Linked DNA regions of Arabidopsis thaliana. The protein of the gene in region 2 purifies or fractionates together with the protein of the main gene of each other region. This does not show direct contact. Each region holds a gene or a part of one and is shown on either strand. Other genes may lie near its edges.

Region 1 (4,395 bases), on a different chromosome or scaffold from region 2:
CTAAAGAAGAATATGAGGACTTGGGTTAAGTTATGTTCAAATGTTTGCATCTGCTAGGTGGAATTTAGTAATGGTGTTGTTGAATTATTACTTAAGGTTGGTGATTGCATTGCTTTGAATGCTCATTGAGTTATTGAAGGAAGCTCTTGGAACTTCAGGGAAACTGTGATGACACTAGAGAACAGAACAAAGGTATTTTGGGCATTAGATGCAGGACTGATTTGGTTACATTACGTATTACTGGTTAGTGTTAATGTTCATGATTGATTCAGGAACTCGCAAAGTCTCATGTTTGACGCTTAGTAAGTCTAACATGTTAGAGTTTAAGAAAGAGTAGGGTTGGTGAGAAAACGTCTCATGTTCTTCTGTTTTGTCGCTGAGATGTAAGAGATTCTGTGACCTGATGAATCTTATCAGTGGAGGACAAAGAAGGATTTGGGTATCAGCACAGACCAGTCACTGGCAGAGATAGCAGAAAATGGTTTAGTCGACATGATCATAAAGGATTTTAAAGTTGTCACGAGAAATCGATTCATCACATTATGTTGATAATTCAACAGTTACTATCAATATTAGTTATATATCCTCTCAAAGCATGTGTGGTATCATAGTTCTACGAAACAAATAGTACATCACTAGTTGAAATGAAAATCTCACAGGTAAACAAAATGTTGGATGAGAGATCTTTAGCAGAATCACTCTAAATTCTTCATTCACAATGTAAACGCTACACCATTGTCTAACAACTCAACAAAGTATAGCAAATCTCTGAACATGCCAAGAAACATCTGGCAGGTACGCAGTTAACCAAGTAGAATGTGATTCTTAACCGTCATCACTGTAGCTTCTCGAGTTCTGACATCCTTTCGATGATTGCCTGCGAATTAAAACAAGTCCCCAACATTTAAAAGTTTAGCACTTGAGCAAGAGCATGTGTGATACATTTAAGTGAAAGAGAGAAGCTTGAAACAAAAATTTCACACCCTTTTGCTTGTTTCTTGGAGCTCCCCAGCAAGAATGAACTCATCGAGTATCAAGTACACCTTTCAGTTTAAGTCATAGGGAACTAGTTAGCAATTATTAGAGTACAAACACAGATCAAATCTAGAAACACTGTAGCATCTGCATATATAAACACAAATAGGGAATGCTTTTCAAGGCTGCATACAGATATTTATCTAATGGGTCACGATGGTCAGCTTAGAATTGGGACAAGTATACTGAGAAGAAAACGAAACTAGCTTTTGATTTTCGCAAACAAAAGCTTAGTTTGATATACCCTTGTAAGCTTAATATATGAGAATTCTCAGAAAACCATTTTAAAACATCTGGGAGAATTCACTTAACTAGTTCAAAACTTGTAAGCATTCAATACTCAAAAGACAAAGCAAAATCCCAGTGTTTATTCAAAACCAGTTGTTGTACAGCATCACAACTTAAAGTTATGAATCCAACGAAGCAGTTCCAGAAGCTATTTACAAAGGATAAGAGTAAGTAAAGAGGTTAAGTACCTTGTGGAAATTAAACACCAAATCTAGCTCACAAACATTGCTGAAGAAATGGTCCAATATCTCCACAAACAAATGGATACTCTCCAAGTAAGCCAACTCATTGTCGGTTATATCCACGCACACAGAGAAAAACAATCCAGCATAACGCCTGTATATCACCTTGTGTGTTCTAAACTGAAAATAGTTGCAAAACAGTTTCATCATTCATACATTAACATTCACAATGACACCCACTCACATAAAACGCATTCCATATTATTGTTTCTCAATCACACTTCTACTACATCTCGAATAATCTATCTCCAACAGCCCTAATCTTGTTATACAAAACCTAAATCAGGTTCAAACCTAAGACAATTTCAACAAGCCAATGCTTTTTAAAATCAATCAAATTATACAAAATCTGATTCAAGAATGATAAATTTTACAAAATGAAAACAGCAAACCTCAACGAAGTTGGTGAATTTGGCGTCGCGATTCACCACTAATCTATGAACCTGTGAAAAGAATTAAGAATCAGAAACCTAAAAAGGATAAAAAAAGGAAGATGATAGAATTTGAAATGAGTAGTACCTCGTATTCGACTTTGTGTTTCTCGGATTCTTCGAGAGGGACATAGTATTTGGCTAGACGAGTCTTACCTTGTCTGTTCTGCAATAATATGAATCGGATCTGGACAAATTGGGAGAGAGGTGGATCAGAATTGAGCGTCAGACATGAACAAAGGAAAACAAAGTGGAAGAGAAATAAAGCAGTGTACCATTTTCTCTGCAAAATCTAATGGAGAATTCAGGAGAAATCGTGAGCGATCAGAGGAATTTTCTTCTTTCAGATCTCACTTTGAATTTTCACGACCTTTGTTGAAAACAGGTTCGTAAAGCAGCCAAACTATCCAGTCAAAAAGATGGAGTTTTTAAGAAAAAAATTGATTTAGGAGGAAATAGAAAAATAAGCTTGGAGCTAGAAAAGATTTGTGAAATAGAATTTTTGTTTTAAAAATTTGATTTAACTACAACTTTTTTTTTCCAACTCAATGAAATATTATGTGTTTCATATTCGTATCCTCTCAAAACTAGTTACAAATCTGTTAATTTTTAAATTTTAATTGGATATTTTATGAAAGTTCAAAAAATATGATAAAAGTTTTATTAATTTTTTTTTGTTATAAGGCTTTCTTTTTTTTTTGGTGAAAATCAGAAGAAAAACCTTAATCGAACATGTCGTGACACGATAGTTCAGACTTATCATCCCTAAATATCGAAATCAAAGTATTCGGGAGAACATCAAATGCATGAAAATCTAGAAACAATGAAAACGCATGTAATTTGTCAATCCATTTGTGAAACGGTTGATCTTCCTTTATACGTGAAATATTAGGACTATCCAGTACTGCAAAACCTTTTTGAATGCTAATAAATTGTATTATCCATTTTGGATATCCATATTGCAAATTTTAATATTTGTAATTAACTTTCCCTCTAACATATATTAAATTTACTTACAAATATCTGCATATTTTTAATGGGATCAAAGATGATATAGCAAATCAAATAAGAGTACTACAAATATTTTGCCTTGCCCTATATTTAATTATGACATTGGGTTTGATTAGTAAGATCCAATAGATTTGTTTGCAAACAAAACAAAACAAACAGCTTTGGAGATTACCAATCATATGAGCGGTTGGAAAAAGTGATTAAAAGAGAGAAAAAATGGACGATTGCCAACTCTAAAAACTAAACGTTTGGTGGTTAAAATTTATTTGTTAGTTAAAATGATATTAAAAGTTTTCAAAAAAAATAATATATATTACTCTAGAAAAGAATCTTTAAAACTATTATCTATATTTAATTTATTGATTTATACAAAGCAATGGTACTAGTCAGCCGTTTGTTACTAAACATAACTTATCGGTTTGTTTAAACAAAGTTACAAATCTAACTCATTGATTAGACATAATTCATAACTTCTACTTCATTTAGAGTGTTTCACAAACCAAATAGGGATAGATTTATATCCAAAATTATAAATCGTATCAAAATTTTCACTTTGGAAGTAAAAGGATTTTCTAGTGTTGTACGAAGTGGTCCAAGACATAATCTTCTGCTAGTTCGTTGCTCCTCTTTACAATCTTATTGATATTGATATGATATCTTATATAAATGTACACAAACAAATGGACCAAAAGTCCTCCTATACTCATGAAGTAGAGGTCCAAGTACTAGTAAATGGAGTTAGTGGCCGCCAAAAGAGCAGCACCGAGCCCAGACACGTCTTTGGTATGTTTGATCGCAACGTGACTTGCAAGCTTATGGCCAAGAAGCTCGACTAGTGCGTCTTGCATATACTGTCGATATTGTGGGTACTTCTCATACAGTGCACCGTCCATAGCCACAACGGTTCTTTTACCTGAACCCATTCTTTTGGTATCTTTTTCAATCTTCTCCAGAATTGCCACTATACCAGCTCCTGCTAGACGCCCTCCGCGTTTCACTACTGTGTCACACACTTCCACCACTCTCCTCCTTGCATTCATATTCGCCTCTACCTATTTTCAATAGCTCGATCAGGTTGGTACAGTTATCAAATCTATGGATGTGATTAGCCTTATACATTAACAACTTACATCTAAAAAGTCGTATAGGATTGATCCAACATCCCGAAGATCATCTGTATTGTCCTCTTGCATTTTGCATAGATGCTCGGTCCTTTACAAAATTTACAAAAAAAAAAATAATGAATAAAACTGTCAATCAGAATTTACAACACTTTCCTAGCTAATCAAGTTATTAAGGTATTGAATCTAGGGGTGAGCATATATAGACCGCACCGAACCAAAGCTGAACCGAAATGTTTGAGCATATTGGTATTTCCTGGTTTAAAA
Region 2 (4,919 bases):
TCTAGTTCCAGCAGCAGGTCCAGCACCATCACCAGCAGTTCAACCGCCTAGCCCAGCGGCTTTAGCTGATGATCCAGGAGCTATGCTTGCTGGCTTACTTTAAATTCATTGGGATAAAAGATTACTTGCACATGTCGAAAAGTTTGTTTTCTGTTATTGTAGAATGTAATGGCGAAAATATGGAATGATGGGAGAGTAAATGTAGAGCCAAGGGAGAGAAAAAAGCTAGTTTTGATTATATTTGTGCCGTTTATCCAAAGCGGGCGGGTTGCGTTAGGTAAGAAATTTTGCATTCATTCTGAACATTTGTATTGTGAGGTCAGTGGTTGTATCAGCTTGTTCTTGTGCCTATATATTTTCAATCTGTTTCTCCATGAGTTTTCTGATGGGAGGTCTGTTTTTTCGCACCAGCCTTCACATTGAGAGATTTTAATGTTGTCATAAAGGGGGGAAATTGCAAAAACACATCCAACGCATAGCATTTCACCTGTAAAAACCTGATCTAATTTGAGGTGTGAATAGAGTGGGGACTTGGCCTTGGTGGGACATTCAACCGACATATATACAACCAGATTTTTACTATTACTTTGAAGAATATAATTGAAAGAAAATTTTTTTTTTACTATTTTTAATTTTCTTACAAACTGCTTATGGATTTAAAAGCTGTTTTATCAATTTTTGCATGATTTTTTTTTGTTTTTACTACATAATTTGTAATTGACAAAAGTATGATTTTTTTATATTACTATATCATTTGTAATTTTGCAAATAAAAAAAAATATAAGAACCCTAGATCCGGGGCTTGTGAAACAAGAGTGATTAAGCAAAATTTGAGTAAGTCTGACTTTTGCAAGTTTGCTTCACCAACATCAATGTCGCTCAAGTTGAAGAAGCAACTTCTCTTAAAGTATCGAATACCCTAAAATTTGTCATGCCTTGAAGAAAAACTCAACCGAGATATTGGAGCTGTTCGAAATACCTAAGAAATCAGCCGATGTTGCTAACGCAAAGGGACAATATCTTCCATAAAACTAAAAATGTTCAATAAGCAGGGCCGACCCAAATCTAAAGCCCAGCAAGCTGATGCTTTATCATCACAATCATATAAAAGCCTTGTAGTTTAATGGTTGGTGCTTCCATTAGTTATATAAGTTTACGAGTTCGATACTCAAACTGCCAAACAACAACATCCTAGGAGCATACGCTATCGCCGTCACTGCTTTTCTAGCTCAACAATTCGTCCTATTCATCGTCTTGTAGATTATGATCTTGTTATGAGACACATTTAGTATTTCAAAAACGAGAGTAGTGACAATACTTTCCTATTCACCAGAGTAATTTGGTTGCAATGATTCTAGCAAAATTGTTATCTGAAATATAGAGTATCTAAAATCTTTATTCAAAAGATTTCATAATACATTGAGTAAAATTATAAAATGCTCATAACAAAAAATAATCAAATCAGCACTGCGTATAAACCATTTGTTTCGTTCCCACTAATACCAACAAATACCATGTCTGACGAAAAAAAAAAAAAAAAAGTTGGGACCAGCTAAACCATTGCATGACCTGACCTGACCCGAATTCATAACCGGATTTTCTCATGGTACATTTTTTTTGTTAAGGATTTTCTCATGGTACATTGAATTACAACTGAATGCATTGACCGCGACAGAAAACAGTCATTTTAAAAATAAATGAAAAAGTGAAACCAGAAACAGCAGTAAATAAATATTACCCAAAAAGGCAGAAGGATACACTTTTTAACAAAATATTACGCAAACTTATAAATCCTCAAATTTAGTCCAAATGTCTAGACGCGTTAATTCTGTTTTTCGACGGGTCAATTTCGGATTCCAATTTCAAAACAGACAAAAACTGAATTACACAAAATTGAATAGTCAAAGTTGTAAATAAAGAAAAATAAAAGTCGTCTCTCGTCTCTCTCCCGCAGGCGTGTCTCTCTTCTCCAAAGATCAGTCTCTCCTTTTGAATTTCTTCGATTGAAGGTGCCATTTTCCGTTTCTAGATTGGGATTTCGATCTCACCTCTCTCGAATTGCTTATGCTTCAGCTTTAGTCTGTGGTTTATCTCGTAGTTAGATCCGGTGCCGCGAGTTTGGATCTGCGCCGTGTGAGGCGGCGGAGCACGGTGGATTTGAGGATTTGGTTCAACCATGACCGGAATGAGAGGTCTCTCCGTATTTATCAGCGACGTTCGTAATTGCCAGAACAAGGAAGCGGAGAGACTACGAGTTGATAAGGAGCTCGGAAACATTCGTACATGCTTCAAGAATGAGAAGGTTACTCTCAATTCTCTCCATTCTATTTTCTATGTTTTGATTCTCATTAGAGAGGTAATTCAGTGTCGAGTATCCGCTGAGGTTTTGGTTTATTAGAGATATTGGAGATTTATCCTTCGCAGTTGCAATGCCAATGCAATCGAATGTTAGAGCTATTAGGTTGATTAGGGAGTTAGATAAGAATGTAGATGAAACAAAGATACAGTCACTGGTCACATGCCGAGTGGATAGTTTTGGAGCTTGTAGTTTCTTACTTTATCGGATTGAGGCAATAAATTTTGATTTAACACCAATTGTGAAAATAGATAGGCAGTATAATGTTGCCGTTGTATAGCTAGCTCAAATCCTTGTAGATTAGCAATTATTCTACCTTTTGAAACATCACTACTATTGCTTTCAACTTGGAATTTCATTACTGAATATATGATGACATTTAGGAACTAGAAGAAAAGAATGGTCTGGCAGTAAATTCGGTTATGTAGTGATGGTCTAAGAAATTAAATCATGGTCACGGAAAATTTTGAATAGCTCATTACGAAGTAGATTAAGCTTTGTTGCTGTAAGAACTTCTGGAGTGAAATTCTTGTTCCATCTTACACGTAGCAGAGCTGTAGCAGGCCTGTAGTGGATCCATGTGTTTCCAGTTGGACCAACATTAAACTTATTCTTTTTCGGGGTTCATGTTAGAAATGAATTAATCAAGAACTCTTTGATTACTTGACATTCTGTTTTATTTTTGCAGGTTTTGACACCATATAAAAAGAAGAAATATGTCTGGAAAATGCTTTATATACATATGCTAGGCTACGATGTGGATTTTGGCCATATGGAGGCGGTTTCTCTTATATCTGCGCCAAAGTATCCAGAAAAGCAGGTAAACCAACGTTTTGTTTGCTCAAACAAAGAAATTTTTCTTTGTAAGGCTAGGAGAAGATAATAGATGGAGGTGTTTGCTGAAATATATTCTATTGATCAAGCTGAAACAAAGAAAGTTTCATTGAAGATCACACAGTTAGATCTAGATACCATTTCATGCGTTTGCAACTTGACTTGACCTGGGAAAGTATTGCAGACAATTACTTATAAGCACGAGTTACTTAGTAACATCTTAGAAACTCTTAACCAGAACCATGCATTGTATCTCAAGGGTTTGTATTTCCAATTTATATTGTTTCATGCTCCTTAACTAATTTGCAGGTATTGAACTTTTCATCCATGATTACAGGTTGGCTACATTGTTACATCTTGCTTGCTCAATGAGAACCATGACTTTTTGAAGTTGGCAATAAATACAGTGCGGAACGATATTATTGGTCGGAATGAGACTTTCCAGTGCCTAGCACTGACCTTGGTATGTGGTCTTTTGTCCACCCTGTATTGAGATTTTAGAGCATAGTTAGGTTCTTCTGATTATAAGATGTTGTTAAATGACTGTTTTAATGGAAGTCTTTGGTACATTATGTCTTTTGTGCTCTATCATTTCACGATTCAGAGCCACTTACTTCATGAAACTGGTCCTTTCTTTCTAGCTTTCTTACCTTGCCATGCTTACGTTCTCCTGTAGGTTGGAAATATCGGTGGAAGGGATTTTGCTGAATCATTGGCACCTGATGTTCAAAAGCTACTTGTAAGTGACTCCTAAAGATGAGAGGTTATATTTTTTTCCAATATTACTAAACATATTATGTTATGGGGTCTCTTTGCTGCAGATTTCTAGTAGTTGCAGACCTCTTGTAAGGAAAAAAGCAGCACTGTGCCTACTGCGCTTATTCCGAAAAAATCCTGATGCTGTCAACGTGGATGGCTGGTGTGTATAACACTGTGGGGTTACTGGTTCTTTGATTTTACTAGTGCATCTTTCATATTCTCTTTGTCGTATACTTCCAGGGCGGATCGTATGGCACAACTTTTGGATGAACGAGATCTTGGTGTCTTGACGTCTTCTACGAGTCTTCTTGTAGCTCTGGTATCTAATAATCATGAGGCGTACTCAAGTTGTCTACCTAAATGTGTCAAAATATTAGAACGCCTTGCTAGGAACCAAGATGTTCCTCAGGAGTACACATACTATGGCATCCCATCTCCTTGGCTCCAGGTTTGACTTAACTCGGCTTATTCACTCTTGTTTAATAGCTTAAATATTCTTTAATCGCATCCTTTTCACAAATCCTGTGCATTTTAAACATTTTATGTGAAATTAGCTTATGAAAATAGAGGCTTGGCCCAGCTTTGGTGTATTTTTGTTACTCAGTTAAAGATATCGTGGATACTTATATATCTTTGGTTAGTACAGGTTAAGGCAATGAGGGCTCTTCAATATTTCCCGACCATTGAAGATCCCAGTACCAGAAAAGCTCTGTTTGAGGTTCAATATTTTCATGTGTAAATCTGTAATATATGTCTTTGAATTTCCTCTCATGGCATGGCATTTCATGGAAATTTCAGGTCCTTCAGCGAATATTGATGGGGACAGATGTTGTGAAAAATGTGAATAAAAACAATGCGTCTCATGCTGTGCTGTTTGAAGCTCTATCCCTGGTAAGTTCGTCGGATAGCTGGGGAAATGTTGATACCATGAATTTTACTAGTGGGCACCTATTTTTCTCTCTCTTCCCCT
Region 3 (5,298 bases), on a different chromosome or scaffold from region 2:
CGGGATCTGGTAAGTGAATCATATATGACCTAATGACGTTGATGGATTGAGAAAATCTGAATACCTTGTTGTTGCAGGTATTATAAGATAGTGGAAGCAGATCACATAATGTTCATAGTGAACAGAGAGAGAGCTGGTGTTCAGTTTGATCTGATATACGACAGCATCTTCCAACGTTGCAGGAAACATGTTTTTAGAAAGATTCCTCAGACTCTCCCCAATCAATCTCCTTCTTCTCCTCGTTCATCATCATCACCCAGAATAAACAACTTTGTACATTGATCACATGCAAAAAAAAAATGTTTTAGGGTTGTTACGTTGAGGGCTTAAGTTTTTGTTTAGGCTATTTACTACTAATACAGATTATTCATTGTTCTTCTTGTTCTCCTCTCGATTTGTTGTACTGTAAAATATATATCTTCCATTTTGAAAATTATAATATTTGTTAGTTCGTCATGTTGCTCTACTGCCTCATCAAAGTTATTTATATAGTGAACTCTTACAAAATTAGCGGACGTTTAAGGAAAACCATTATTGGTGTAGTCACCCAGACTGCATGCATTTTCCATCGGTAAACGAACTGAAAGAACCCCAAATAAAACTCGATGTTTAACAATTGTAACCCAATATATATATAACTGTCGTATATAGTTTTACAGAAAAAAAAAAAAAAAAAAGAGAACGCCATGAAACAATTCACAAGAAAATGGCTTCTAAAACAACCTTCACCGCAAATTCTATCAGCTAATATATTTCAATCTTTTTCCTTTTCTCATTGATCTTCCTCTGCTTTGTGTCGTTGACAATGGCTTAAATAATAGTAAAAACAAAAAAACGATCTCATTTTACATGAGTCTCAGTTCGTACTCACCAGCCATGGTTATATATCTCACCCATGGATGTGCCTGGTACCCACTCTTCTCAATGATCTTCAGGTATCGAACCTGCAATACCCATAATTAACACACATCAGGTTTGTTTGCCTTCAGATTTCAATGCAGTAATATAAAAAGAATGTGATCTATATGATAATAACGTATCATTGTGAGTAATACCAACCTGTATTCCTGAAACTATGAATTTTGGGATCTCAAATTTGACACGGATTGGAGCTTTTCGCTCAGGCGTTGCTTCCTCTGCGGCTATACTTGGAAGATGGAAATCTGCTTTCAATGTATGCTCCTACATTGTTTCAAAACTTAATGTAAGCATTCGACTTTACATGGTCAAGTGTTACATTAAACTATAAGAACTTACCTTGTTCCCATAGAAATATTGTATCTTCCAGACCAGTGCATCTTTCTCAGGAGCATATGCGGCCGACCCGAGAGATGTTCTTACATCGGGGTTATACGCATCAGTTGGTACAGGTAACTCAATCTCAACACTTGTTGCATAGCTGCAGAAAAAAGGAACTCTTATCAAAACGCGTTAAAGGATTCCAGTATTTCAGTATTTCAGGTAATGGTTAAACGTGTTAAGTAACATTTGTTACTTACCTTCTGTCCTTGAATTGGCTTCTAGCTTTTACTAGCATCTCAACACGACTTCTGGAATGCCTCTCTATATGCGCTTCCACCCATATAAGAGGCTTTACCTGAACAAGTATTATGCGAAAATAAGATATATCATGATATAATTCGTTTAAGAAGGGGACAAAACCATTTCTGCAATATTACACATTCTAAAACCTGAGTACTGAGTCTATACGTCATAAGATCAAAAGATCCATCAGGTGGTATGAATGATATTGTCCTGTCGTTCTCAAAACGGGCTAATCGAACACACCTACATTTTGAAGAAAGAGACGTGTAAAAACTCAAGTATTCAATAATTTTTCGAGTTAGTAAAAAAATTGGCCTCGATAGAGTGACTGTCAAAGAATGTTTAAAGTTGCAAGAGATTAACGTACTGATGAAATTTGATGTCCTCCAAATCAATGGCTTTTCCTTTTATTGCTCGTCCCTGTGCCTCCAACAATATTCTGTCATTCAAGCCTAGCTTACACTCTGGCATTCCACTGTAATAACATGGATAAAGAAGCAGAGAGTCAAAGAGGAGGGACTTTTGATTTTAAATGCGTTGGTTAACTAGGGACACTAGAGAACGCACCTCAAGTATGTTCGCATCTTCAAAGCTCCAACGACATCAGACCTGACAATTTGCCCATTACTGTTCACAAGGATATTTACACTCTCTATCACATCCAAGAAAACCTGGAAAACAAAACATCAGTCTGCAAACATTAGAAAACCTAAAACAATTGAAAAGTAAAATGTTGAGCACCTACTTCGTTTTTCTTAAACTTTAACCCCTCACTCCTCCATGAGACAGAATTAGTGACAGCCATTGGAGGTCTCTGTGTAACTTCCATTCTATATGCATCAGTCTTGATGAATTCACTAAGGATTCTTGCCTCAGTAAACTGAGGGTAACCAAAGTCCATCATCTCGTCAAGTAACTCATACTGCCAGTAACATAAGTAAATGTTTTTAGAAATAACTTTCGCCCACACATATCCACCTCATGCAAGAGGGAAAACAGTTATAAGAAGAGATGTGAGAAGCATTATCTTACCACTACCACAAAGTTATCTCTCAAAGATTCTTCCTCTAACTCCTCGAAGTAATGCTTGAAGACCTACGATCAGTATAAGACTGTAACATATGAAACAGTGCCGTTCTTTTTTCTTCAAATTCAGAAAACAGATGGAAATGCAAAAAACTGAATCACTAGGGATGCTTACATCGACTACACGATGCAAGAAGAAGAGAAGACTGGCAGCATTACAGTTCTGTCTGGACGCTATCATGAGGTAAATGTTACTATGCTGTACAAACATGTAGGTCACGCCATTATCATAAGCAACCGGATCATTTGACTGTGAATCACCCTGAACATATTAGACGAAAGTAAGCAAACCCGCAGAGAAAACACTAGTCATTTAGTCATAAGTATAACGATTCTGATCAAATTGAATCCTTTTAAGCACTGATCAAGCTTGTTCATTAGTTCCAAATGTTAAAACTTCACCTCTGTCTCGATGAGTTTGGTGAAGAAACGCTCAGCTTGAGCAGCGGTGACATCGCCACGGTAATCGCGCCACACGAGAACACGACCTTTGATATCGAGCAGAAACAGCGCTGAGGCCGCCCCTGCCATGTTCTTCTTCTTCTTCCCTCCTTGTTTTCTCAAGGATTTGCCGAATCAGATCGATCAAACAGACGGATTATTAATTCCAGAGAGATCTGAAGAATTTTACGCTTCGCCGGAGCTAAACGATCATTTGCTGCAGCTGAGTGGTGGTTCGTCGATAAAGTCACTTATTCACGACCTGACGAATTGGTTCTGACATAAAAAACGACGGGAGACTCGAGAAAGAAAGAAAAGTGCAGCTTATTAAATTGGGTTCAGCTTTGCATTATTCTGCGAAACGACATCGTATTACCAATCTTACTTGGTTTTTCTTTCTTTCTCTGTATTAGGGAAGCAATCTTACTTACGAAGATTTTAGATTAATTTTTATAAATCTTAAACTAATAATACCAAATTAAAAAAAAAAAATGAAAATTTGAATTGAATAACATCAGATTCTATATAATATTTTTAAATCACTAAAACTCTATATAAATCACAAACCAATAACACCCCTTAATTATTAACAAAGTACTAGCATTTTGACAAATGTTATACATTTCAACATAGATTTGTTTTTTAGTTAAGTCATAGGAGTTATTTTGTTAATTGATGATAGCTCCTCCTGGTTGTTCCCATTTTCATACATACAAATCCTCAACATAAGCAATAAAATCCCATATGATTTTCCAATCCAATAATGATTCTAACAGTTTGTTACACTTGAATTCACTTGCGCCATTCTCTATCAATTTCTTTTAAGTTCCACGCGAATGAAATAGTGCTTTTCAATATTTCATTACATTTGGCGAGAGAGAACATTACAATGAAATTGCAGTGTCAAAGTAAATCTTCTGTACATGTTTCAATCAAAACCTTTTTCTTTCTTTCTTCCTTCTCTTTGAGAGCAAACATCATAAATCCACAAAACAATCAAACTCACCCAAAAGACTTCCACGATTTGACTCAGCACACAGTACTTATGTTCAATTCTATTGATTCGATCTCGTGAGGCAGGGCAAAGCAACAAGCCAGATGATGTTTCATGTTCCTTTTTGGTCTGTGCCCTTTGATGTAATCTTAGACTTGAGTGCTAAGCTACTTATATCGTCGTCTCCTTCAAGATCACTGAAAGAAACATCATCCTCATTCACTGTAAACATTGGAGCCCAAGAATTAGCAGAATCTTCTTCTTCTGGCCAATCATCATCATCATCATCAACAACATCTTTAGATGTTTGGCTAAGGCTTGCACTATTTTTGTCGTTCTTCTGGATTGGTTTTTCCTCAATAACAGCTTTATCGATGAACTGAGCGTTTTCAAACCCGTGTTCAAAATCGCGATACATAATCGAAGGAGGTTCAAAAGCATATATTCTTGGAGAAAGAAACTCAGGAGGAGCATGGTTGTAGTAATTAGAAGTTGATGGTGTAATATCTTCTTCCTCAAGAATCATATCTCTACTTTCTTTTGAAGAATGTGTCTGATTCTGAAGCTCTTTCATCCACAATGCTCTAGCTTCCATCACCTGCAAAAGCAAAAGGATTTTGTTGAATAAACAACAGCAACAACAAAGAATCATTTTGACTCAAGAAGAGATTGAGATTCAGGTTTTTTTAACCTGTGGAGAAGACAAAAGATGAGCATCGTGTTTATTGAGCCTTGAAAGAAGAAGAACAAAATAGACTTTCCAGAAGTAACCAACACTCATATGACATGGACAAAGCTCTATTCTCAATGCAGCTAACCTCGGAGCAAGACGCTCAATAGCTAAAGCATGACCTCTTTGAGCATCACTCATTTCCAAATCTACATTAGATAAAAGTTGAAATAATCAAACTTTTGATATGCCTATAAGTCAAATCAATGAAGACTAATAGCGAAAGACTTGACTCAATGTATACGTTACCATCAAGATCTTCGTCAGGATCAAGAGGAAAATCCAACCAAGTTTCTGGATGCATTGCTATGTTCCTCGCAAATGCTAGCACTTCGTCTGTAAGAGCAACCGCAGCGATCTCTTCTTCTTCTTCTTCTTCTTCATCTGTTTCCTCTTCTTCTTCTTCCTCATCCTCCGGATCATTGCCTTCTGCCAATTTTTCTTCTAAATCCCAGCTCCTAAACCTAATTCCAGTCTCCGGCGTATCACTTCCAACACACGA

What was found. Proteins that work in one complex are often made in the same cells at the same time.
Region 1: the proteins of alpha-ADR (region 2) and AT1G47830 purify together in Arabidopsis thaliana (affinity purification with mass spectrometry; 2 studies listed by BioGRID, with this or other methods). This does not show direct contact.
Region 3: the proteins of alpha-ADR (region 2) and AT1G10730 fractionate together in Arabidopsis thaliana (co-fractionation; one large-scale study listed by BioGRID). This does not show direct contact.

Annotation. Positions count from the first base shown.
Region 1 is NC_003070.9:17,612,511-17,616,905, forward strand, and holds AT1G47830 (SNARE-like superfamily protein), read right to left. Parts: upstream 2,477-4,395; 5' UTR 2,275-2,476; coding exon 2,272-2,274; intron 2,184-2,271; coding exon 2,085-2,183; intron 2,009-2,084; coding exon 1,958-2,008; intron 1,686-1,957; coding exon 1,512-1,685; intron 1,044-1,511; coding exon 984-1,043; intron 878-983; coding exon 836-877; 3' UTR 519-835; downstream 1-518. Other genes in the region: HXK3 (hexokinase 3), read right to left, coding at 3,733-4,059, 4,138-4,219. UniProt on the Arabidopsis thaliana protein: Subunit of the adaptor protein complex 2 (AP-2). Adaptor protein complexes function in protein transport via transport vesicles in different membrane traffic pathways.
Region 2 is NC_003076.8:7,585,284-7,590,202, reverse strand, and holds the start of alpha-ADR (alpha-adaptin), read left to right. Parts: upstream 1-1,880; 5' UTR 1,881-2,176; coding exon 2,177-2,302; intron 2,303-3,044; coding exon 3,045-3,176; intron 3,177-3,527; coding exon 3,528-3,653; intron 3,654-3,866; coding exon 3,867-3,929; intron 3,930-4,011; coding exon 4,012-4,109; intron 4,110-4,189; coding exon 4,190-4,397; intron 4,398-4,595; coding exon 4,596-4,667; intron 4,668-4,747; coding exon 4,748-4,840; intron 4,841-4,919. Other genes in the region: AT5G22780 (Adaptor protein complex AP-2, alpha subunit), read left to right, coding at 1-103; AT5G22785 (uncharacterized protein), read right to left, coding at 359-487, 498-560. UniProt on the Arabidopsis thaliana protein: Subunit of the adaptor protein complex 2 (AP-2). Adaptor protein complexes function in protein transport via transport vesicles in different membrane traffic pathways.
Region 3 is NC_003070.9:3,563,327-3,568,624, reverse strand, and holds AT1G10730 (Clathrin adaptor complexes medium subunit family protein), read right to left. Parts: upstream 3,369-5,298; 5' UTR 3,163-3,368; coding exon 3,034-3,162; intron 2,894-3,033; coding exon 2,747-2,893; intron 2,641-2,746; coding exon 2,578-2,640; intron 2,468-2,577; coding exon 2,291-2,467; intron 2,217-2,290; coding exon 2,113-2,216; intron 2,021-2,112; coding exon 1,913-2,020; intron 1,789-1,912; coding exon 1,692-1,788; intron 1,598-1,691; coding exon 1,500-1,597; intron 1,400-1,499; coding exon 1,258-1,399; intron 1,183-1,257; coding exon 1,060-1,182; intron 945-1,059; coding exon 846-944; 3' UTR 519-845; downstream 1-518. Other genes in the region: AT1G10740 (alpha/beta-Hydrolases superfamily protein), read left to right, coding at 1-9, 78-282; AT1G10720 (BSD domain-containing protein), read right to left, coding at 4,179-4,664, 4,758-4,945, 5,046-5,298. UniProt on the Arabidopsis thaliana protein: Subunit of clathrin-associated adaptor protein complex 1 that plays a role in protein sorting at the trans-Golgi network and early endosomes (TGN/EE).